Caenorhabditis elegans: one gene and its partner. The protein of the gene in region 1 interacts with the protein of each later gene in a pairwise test. Each region holds a gene or a part of one and is shown in the gene's direction. Other genes may lie near its edges. The genes, in order: btb-6 and rad-23.

Region 1 (3,608 bases):
TTTTGACACCAATCCGGGAAAAATTTTCGTATCGGGAAATGTTCATGCCATCCCAGAAAACAGATGCGATTTTGATGATTGGTGGCGAAAAACTTCATGTTAATAAAGCGGTGAGCCTATCTAAATTCACCAAAAACCCAAAAACTGTAAAAATCCATAAATTTCCAGTTCCTCTCCTTCCATTCGGACTTCTTCCACGAGTTGTTCTCGGCGAGCTCCACAGAAAGCGAGATTCCAGAGATCCCAATTCGTGACGTCTCCGCTGAGGATATGGGTCTTCTTCTCAGCACAATCTACCCGGATCTAGTGTTTCCCACGGGTTTGTGGCATATTTTTGCTTAAATTGTCAAAAATACAATTTTCCAGACAAGACCGCCGCGAAGCTTCTGACGCTCGCCAATCGATTCCAAATGCGGGCGGTCACCGCGCAAGTGGAACACCATCTGCTCTGGCATTCGGATATTGAAATTGAAAAGCTGATTCTGATGGCGAACACGTTTGGAATGAAGGATCTGCTCAAGGAGTGCACTTGCGATGGAGGAAACAAAACCCCGGGAGAGGTGCCCATTTCGGTCCAGTGACGAGTCGGAAAGTGAATCTGAATCCAGCGAGAGTTCCAGTTCCAGCAGCTCCAGCAGAAGCAGTTCCTCGTCCGATTCTAGTTAATTTTTCGCATTTCTCGGTTAGAAAATCTTTATGAAAAGTTATATTAGAAAGTTTCCCTTGTATAAAAATATATCTTTGCCCTCTCAAAATTTGCAATACTCTGTAAATCTGGAATACAACGTTTTTTTTTTCAAAATGGGTCAAAATAGATTTCTCAGCCAATTGTTCTCAGTCGGTGGGAAAATTCTGTAATTTAAACATGGTGCATCAAAGATTTTACAGAAATATGGAGAATTCGATCGCTACAAGTTGGAGAAATTGAAGAAAATTTGCTACTCCTGTCTGGAAATTTGATCTACGTACTTTGTTATGCGTATTTTTTGTGATTTCCAAGGAAACAAGTTTTCACCTATTTATTTAGAATTTTCTGAAAGTTTAGAAGTTCTAGAAGTTCTAGAAGTTTTCTAGAAGAAAGCCATCTATGAATATTCAGTCACAATTGTTTGTAGCTAACTCGTCGTGACGCCAAGACTGCTATTGTCTCCTCTGACTACCTGATCGGAAGATTATAAGACACCCAACAGATGTTCACTTTCCCAAGGATCCACCGGCCTCTTCCCAGCTCCTGAACTTGCCAATCGATGCACCACGAGTCTCTCACAATATCACTCAGAATACTCTTTTCAAAAAAGGCTATATCTGCGCACTCCGTAGTTCATGTCTGTGTCACTTCCCAGGAGAGTAGTCTCCTGGGCAGAGAGCGGTGGTTCGCTATTCCTGTCCATTTAGCAGAAAGACAGTTGACGGGGACGAGGCGAGTCAGGCCTGGTACACCGCTACACTGCCCTCATTACATACATACCCTCCCAAGGTCTAAAACAGTCTTTTCCCAGTCTCCGAACGCGTTCATCAAAAAAATCGATACTCCATATGTAATCTACCTGCGCATTATCTGAACGTGCTCATTCATTCTCTTCACTTGTGGCCCACCATTATCACCGTTCCCTATTTCTCTGCTTATTTTTTAAATTTAATTTTTGGTGTTCCTAGACCGCCTGGAGAAATTAATGGACACCATGGACAAAACTAAAAATGAAACCCTGGAGTTCGCAAGCGATTGGATGTATGCTACCCTGCCTATCACTTTTTACAGCGATTGTAATGGATTAAAATGGTGAGTGTTTTTTATTTAACATTTATATAACAATACAATTTTCAGCAATGTCTCAATTTTCAATCCTGATGACCAGTTTCTGTCTACAGTGAAATTTGATTGGGATCAAAAAGTGATTAAGGATCTAACTGGCACATTCACGTGGATATTTGATAACTCGGGAGGGAGCTGTAACCAACAACTTGAGAGTATTACCCTTGACAAACCAGGACAATGTTATGCACAAAAAATTAATTGGAATGTTTTCGATTATAATTACCTACGATGTAAGTACTCTCTTACGCCCAATTGTTGCCAGGAGAAGTGCTCGGATAACAAAGTGGCTCTTACGCCAAAAAAGAGCCCCGGTCAGAAAGTCCCGGAGCACAAGCCTACTGATCATGAAATTGGTAGTGATGTTTCCTATGAGAAATTGTTCGCGCCATCCAACCGACACGATGCGGTGCTCTTGATCGGGGAGAAGAAGCTTCATGTGAGCAAGGCGGTGAGTTTTGTGGTTCACAAGATCTTTTCGTTAAACTAAACCCAAAAATTGCAGTTCCTCTCCTACCACTCGGACTATTTCTCCGATCTGTTCGCTGATAAGATCAATGAGGAGATTAGGCTTGAAGATGTGTCCTACGAGGATTTCGGCCTTCTCATGAGCATCATCCACCCCGAAACAGGCTTTGTCAATGGTAAGGAAGCCTACTATGATGTCACAATAATTAATATATTTTTCAGATCAAAACGCTGAGAAGCTTCTCCATCTAGGAAATCGGTTCAAAATTTCATGTGTCATTCACCAGGTCGAACACCACTTCACTCGTGGAACCAATTTTTCCAATGAGAGATTGATCTTCCTGGCCGACAAGTACGAATTGCAGAAGCTTCTGGAAAAGGCAATCCAAGAGATGAACAGCCTGGACAAGGCAAAGAAGTTCGGAGGATCCGATGATTACAAGAAATTGTCGGATTTTGCTAGAGGCAAGATCTCGGATCGTCTCATGCAATTGCTGATTAATTGATTTTTATTATGTTGCTACGTTTGAATTGTCCTTTTTTGTTGTGAAAATAAATTATCGAAAGTTTATGTGAATCGCTAAACCAAGTATCTTCAAAGTGGCGTATCTTAAAAAATAAAAGTCTGAAAAACAATTGCACAACTAACAAAATGATCAGAAATATTTGTTCTTTCTACTACATTAATTTGTATATCAACACACCAACTACTTGTAGAGTTACACAGAGTCAAAGCCATTTTTCCAAAATTCACGAAAAATTTTGAGAACTCTTTTGTTGTATCCTTCATAACTCAACTTTCATTGAATTTCAAAAGATAAATTTTGTTAAATGGTAAGTAAAAAATATTTTTCCATATTTTATCAGTTTAAAGTTTCTTGATATTTTTATGTTCCGCCAAGTTACAGACCGTTTTCTGAAAAAAATCCAATTTCGCTCATAAAACTCTTCATATCCGACTTGAAATTTTCAAAAATGATCACTTTTTTGAGGTCTCTACAATGTCCTAAAAAATCTTTCAAAAAACACTGTCCATCTCCAAAATCGTCCTTCGCTCCGAAAAATGAAATCGGACTTTTGCTTTTCGAAAAATGAACGAAAAAATCAATTTGCGATTTTTGGGTCGAAAAAAATATTTTTAGAAAGCTGAAAACACGCTATTTACGAAATTCATATTCATTTTAGGTGAATTCTTCTCTGAAATGACCTAAAAATTAAACAAAAAGAACATAATTTTAATTCTCACGTGGAATTTTTTAAATTTTCATTAAAACAGTTGAAGCACTGAGCAAATTACCAAACAATTTTACGTGAGAATTAAAATTAT
Region 2 (4,173 bases), 9.9 Mb from region 1:
TATTTCCATAAGTAGACGATTTACTATTTACATGTAGTTTTCGCTACAAGATATTCAAAAATATGTTACGCAATACACATCATCGTTCATTCAACTTTTTTGGCAACAATTATTTATAATTTTTTCAGAGTGAACACGGTTCTAACAAATCAGCCAGAATTTGCCGAGGCTTTCAAATGTCCAGCTGGATCTCCGATGAATCCAACGAAACGCTGTGTTGTGTGGTAATCAGAAAATACGGGAAAGGAGTCAACCAAGTTGGCACGCTTTATCTATCTGTCTCTCAGAATCTACTAAATCTTTCGTCCTTTTTTTTTACTCATCTAGCTGTATATATTGTTGAAAACAATAGACACTCGAATTCACTGTATTTTGTCCCTCTATGTATTTTTTCTCGAATTTTTCCAACTTCTTTTTTTGGTATATCATATTGATAGATGTTCTTGTTCATTCCAGAAATCTTTGTGCAAATAAAATTTTCAGATGTAATTAAAACTTGCTAAAACAATGCATCGGAAAGTTCATTTTCTTACAGTACCGAGAAAAAGACGCGAATAAATTAAAATCAGTTTACAAATACAATGCTTGAGTTCTTGAAAGACACCGGTTAAACGATTTGTTCGAGTTGCTTGGCGTAGAAGAGGGTTTGAGTTGCGACTCGCACTGTATCCAAATTCACAGGCTTCTCCTGAGCCACCTCAATTTCGAAAACGTAACGCTCTCCATCCAAATGCCATTTTCTCTGTAAATAAATATATTTTTTAATACTTGTAGCTTTAAAAATCATTATTACCTCTTGTCCAAACTTTTTCATTTGTTCGTCATTGTCGAACAGAAGCATGACCGTGGCATCCTTCGCTGTCAGAACTTTGAAAGACTTCTCGATAGATGTTGCGATTTCGCGACGGATGGTGTCAAGCATAATACGAATGAAAATAGTGTAGAAGGGGCTTGGAATATTCTTCTCGGTGAGCACAACCTTGTTGTAGGCTCCTTCCATGAGACTCTGTTCAATACGAACTGGCGTAGAGATGTAAGCGTTTGATGTTTGCTCTTTCTGTGGAATTTGTTCGAGGAGCATGTGGAAGTCGGACAATCTGTTGGCAGCGAGCAGGAACATCAGATGGAGTCCAGTCATTAAATGCTTGTTTTCAGAATTTTCTGGCGCCATTGTATAGTAGGTATGCATCTGGAAAATTAAAAATAATTTACAGATCGTTAAAAATTACATAAATTTTCCAAATAATTATTTAAAGACTCACCTGATTGATGTAATCGTCGAACGTTTCGAAATCGTGCTTCAGAATTGCCAAGAGCACCGAAATCTCGTACAAATCTCTGAAAATTAATAATTTAAACTCATTACACCAAAGAAAAATCTTACTTTGAAGCCAATGCAGACTGTTTATCATTCAAATCGCTGGAGGCACTGAGAACCTTCTGAAAATTCAATTTATTTACAATTTGACAAACAATTAACTGACCGTCAACTCATTCAGAGCCTTCTCAACTGCGACAAGATCTTTTGGCTCCTTTGCCCACACAGCCAGAAGATTTTTATGGGCGGCAGACATTTTCTTAAATCCAATAATGTTTTAATTTGATAAAATCGAAGATAAAAGTTCACGATAAACACAAGTGAAGTTAAAAAATAAAAATAAAACATTCAAAAAAGAAATAAACGCATTCTCCGTAAATCGACACAATGACAATTCTGGCAGGTCTCGCCACGAAGAGTGTTCAAATCATGTGCGCCTTTAAGACGCCAAGCCATTTTCTCTTCTGTTTTTTACCACTTATTTTGTTCTTCAAAATGGTTTTTTTGTTTTGTTCTTTTATTAATAATCAAATGTTTGTTTATTTTATACATATATACTGCTTGTTTTGCATTAATATCAATCTGTTATCGATATTTATTTCTTTTTCTTTCAATACATGACTCTATTCGTAACATTTCACAATTTTTTGCAGGATGGTTTTGTCCGTTACATTCAGGACTCTCACACAAGTTAACTTCAATTTGGAATTGAATGAAGATCAGACGGTAAGATTAGAGTTAATGTTCGACTTGTATTTTATTTTTCTTTCAGATTGCGGAAGTAAAGGCTCTGGTCGCTTCGGAGAAAGGGGATGATTATGCTCCAGAACTTCAAAAATTAATCTACAACGGAAAGGTATTACAGTGAAGGCTCATAATATCTTTAAAGTATGTTTTTTTTTTAGATTCTCGACGATTCTGTGAAGGTCGGAGAAGTCGGATTCGATTCTTCGAAGTTCGTTGTTGTGATGCTCAGCAAAAGGAAAGTCACAGAAGTTGCACCTTCATCTACCGTTGCCACAGCTGCTGAGCCTGTTCCAGTAGCTGCCGCTCCTGCGTCAAACCCAGCCCCAGCTGCCGATGTTGCTCCTGAAGCTGCTGCTCCTGCTGAGGCGGAGGCGCTTACGGATGAGCAAGAAGAGAACGTTCTCGCAATCACTGGAATGGGCTATGACCGTGAACAAACTATCGCTGCTCTGCGCGCAGCATTCTGGAATCCAGACCGCGCAGTCGAGTTTCTTCTCAACGGACTTCCTGATGATGCTGCTGACCAAGAACCAGATTTGGGGCCCGAGCAAAACATCGATAACGTGGATGAGGATGGCAATGACGATCTTAACATGCTTGCAAACATGCCACAGCTTGCAGAAATTAGAGCTTTGATTCAACAAAATCCTGAAATGCTCGCCGCAGTCCTTCAGCAGTTGGCTGCTGTCAACCCAAGACTTGTTCAGACTATTCAGAACAACCAGCAAGCTTTCATGGATCTTTTGAATGGTGGAGCTCAAGGAGCCGGAGCCGCTGCAGGAAATGCGCCAGAAAGAAACACCCCACGTCGCCATGTTATCCATCTCAGTCCCGAAGAAGCTGCTGCTATTGAGAGAATCAAAGCCATAGTTGTTAATGCACCAGAAGCTGTGGTTGTGGAGGCTTATTTCGCATGTGACAAAAACGAGGAAGCCGCTATCAACTTTATTTTCAGCAACCTCGTGAGTTTATTTCCATACGTAGATAATTAGAAGTTTAATTTTTAATTATTTCAGGATGAGGAATAATTATCTTACCCATGCCAATAACTTCTGATCACCGTCACTGGAAATTGCAACAGAAATTAATTTATTCTCTCTCCCCCATTTCCGTAAAGCTTATATTCTTGCTCCTATCAGCCTAATTTTTTTATTAACACTTCTTCCAAGAATGTGTATTCATCGCCTTCTCGATTGCCCTTTGTCTATATATTTAAGATAATAACACATTCAGTTCCATGTGCTGATTGTCACCCGCTACTGGTAGGCACTTCGTTGAAATTCTCGTCGCGTTCAGCGAATTTTGTGTGACATAATTTCGGTATTGTAATTCCCTTTTGTCATCCAACATTTTCAAATGAAAGTCAAATGTTTTAATGATTCTTCGTTTCGATTTATCAAACTTTACCCAATGAGTCATCACGATTTCGTACTCCAATATCGGTCGTTCATTTCTTCTGAATATGCGCTAATTCACTTTACTTGAAGATGTCTGGAAAAATAAGCGAAGAAGCTATGCAGGAACAGGCCGAAAGGGCGGAATATGTGAAAAATATTGGGATTGAGTACAGATTTGGATGCTACGAAGTGAGAAATTTGAATTTTCAATCTTTCTTTGAAGTTAAATTTTCAGGAAAAAAGGCCAGAATCCTGTCAATTGCTCGGCGAATACATGGAAGCTCTGCAACAAAATTTTCAAGCGGCCGTAGCGATTTTCAAGAAGAACTGTGACGAGAACAGTTATCCAAAGTCATGTTTCAAGTACGGAATGTACATGTTAGCCGGAAAAGTTGGAGACGATGCAAGTCTGTCAAAAATGATTCGACCGATGAAAATCGCATGTGATGCGAATATTCCACAAGGATGTCGATATTTATCACTTGTTCATTGGAATGGAGAAAAAGATCGGAAAGCTGATTCAGAAAAGGCTGAACGATACATGAGAAGAGCCTGTGAACTGGAAGATGGTGAAGCTTGCTGGTTGTTGAGTACCTGGTATATGGGAAATAAGGAGAAATTTAAGACGAATGCTGCAGGAGAGGCTAAGGTTTTTTTTTGTTTTTCAAAATAATGCGAAAAAGGATCGCCGCGCACCCTGCATCTATTAAA

Evidence for each region.
Region 2: the proteins of btb-6 (region 1) and rad-23 interact in a two-hybrid assay, tested with the Caenorhabditis elegans proteins (2 studies listed by BioGRID).

The regions. Positions count from the first base shown.
Region 1 is NC_003280.10:1,713,647-1,717,254, forward strand, and holds btb-6 (BTB domain-containing protein), read left to right. Parts: upstream 1-1,656; 5' UTR 1,657-1,682; coding exon 1,683-1,780; intron 1,781-1,825; coding exon 1,826-2,264; intron 2,265-2,318; coding exon 2,319-2,457; intron 2,458-2,503; coding exon 2,504-2,787; 3' UTR 2,788-2,851; downstream 2,852-3,608. Other genes in the region: btb-7 (BTB domain-containing protein), read left to right, coding at 1-110, 169-319, 367-581.
Region 2 is NC_003280.10:11,650,528-11,654,700, reverse strand, and holds rad-23 (UV excision repair protein RAD23), read left to right. Parts: upstream 1-1,971; 5' UTR 1,972-1,972; coding exon 1,973-2,044; intron 2,045-2,090; coding exon 2,091-2,174; intron 2,175-2,223; coding exon 2,224-3,027; intron 3,028-3,081; coding exon 3,082-3,093; 3' UTR 3,094-3,439; downstream 3,440-4,173. Other genes in the region: nep-1 (Neprilysin-1), read left to right, coding at 129-228; rpn-12 (26S proteasome non-ATPase regulatory subunit 8), read right to left, coding at 608-742, 794-1,189, 1,263-1,338, 1,385-1,440, 1,485-1,574; coa-7 (Cytochrome c oxidase assembly factor 7 homolog), read left to right, coding at 3,553-3,651, 3,698-4,111.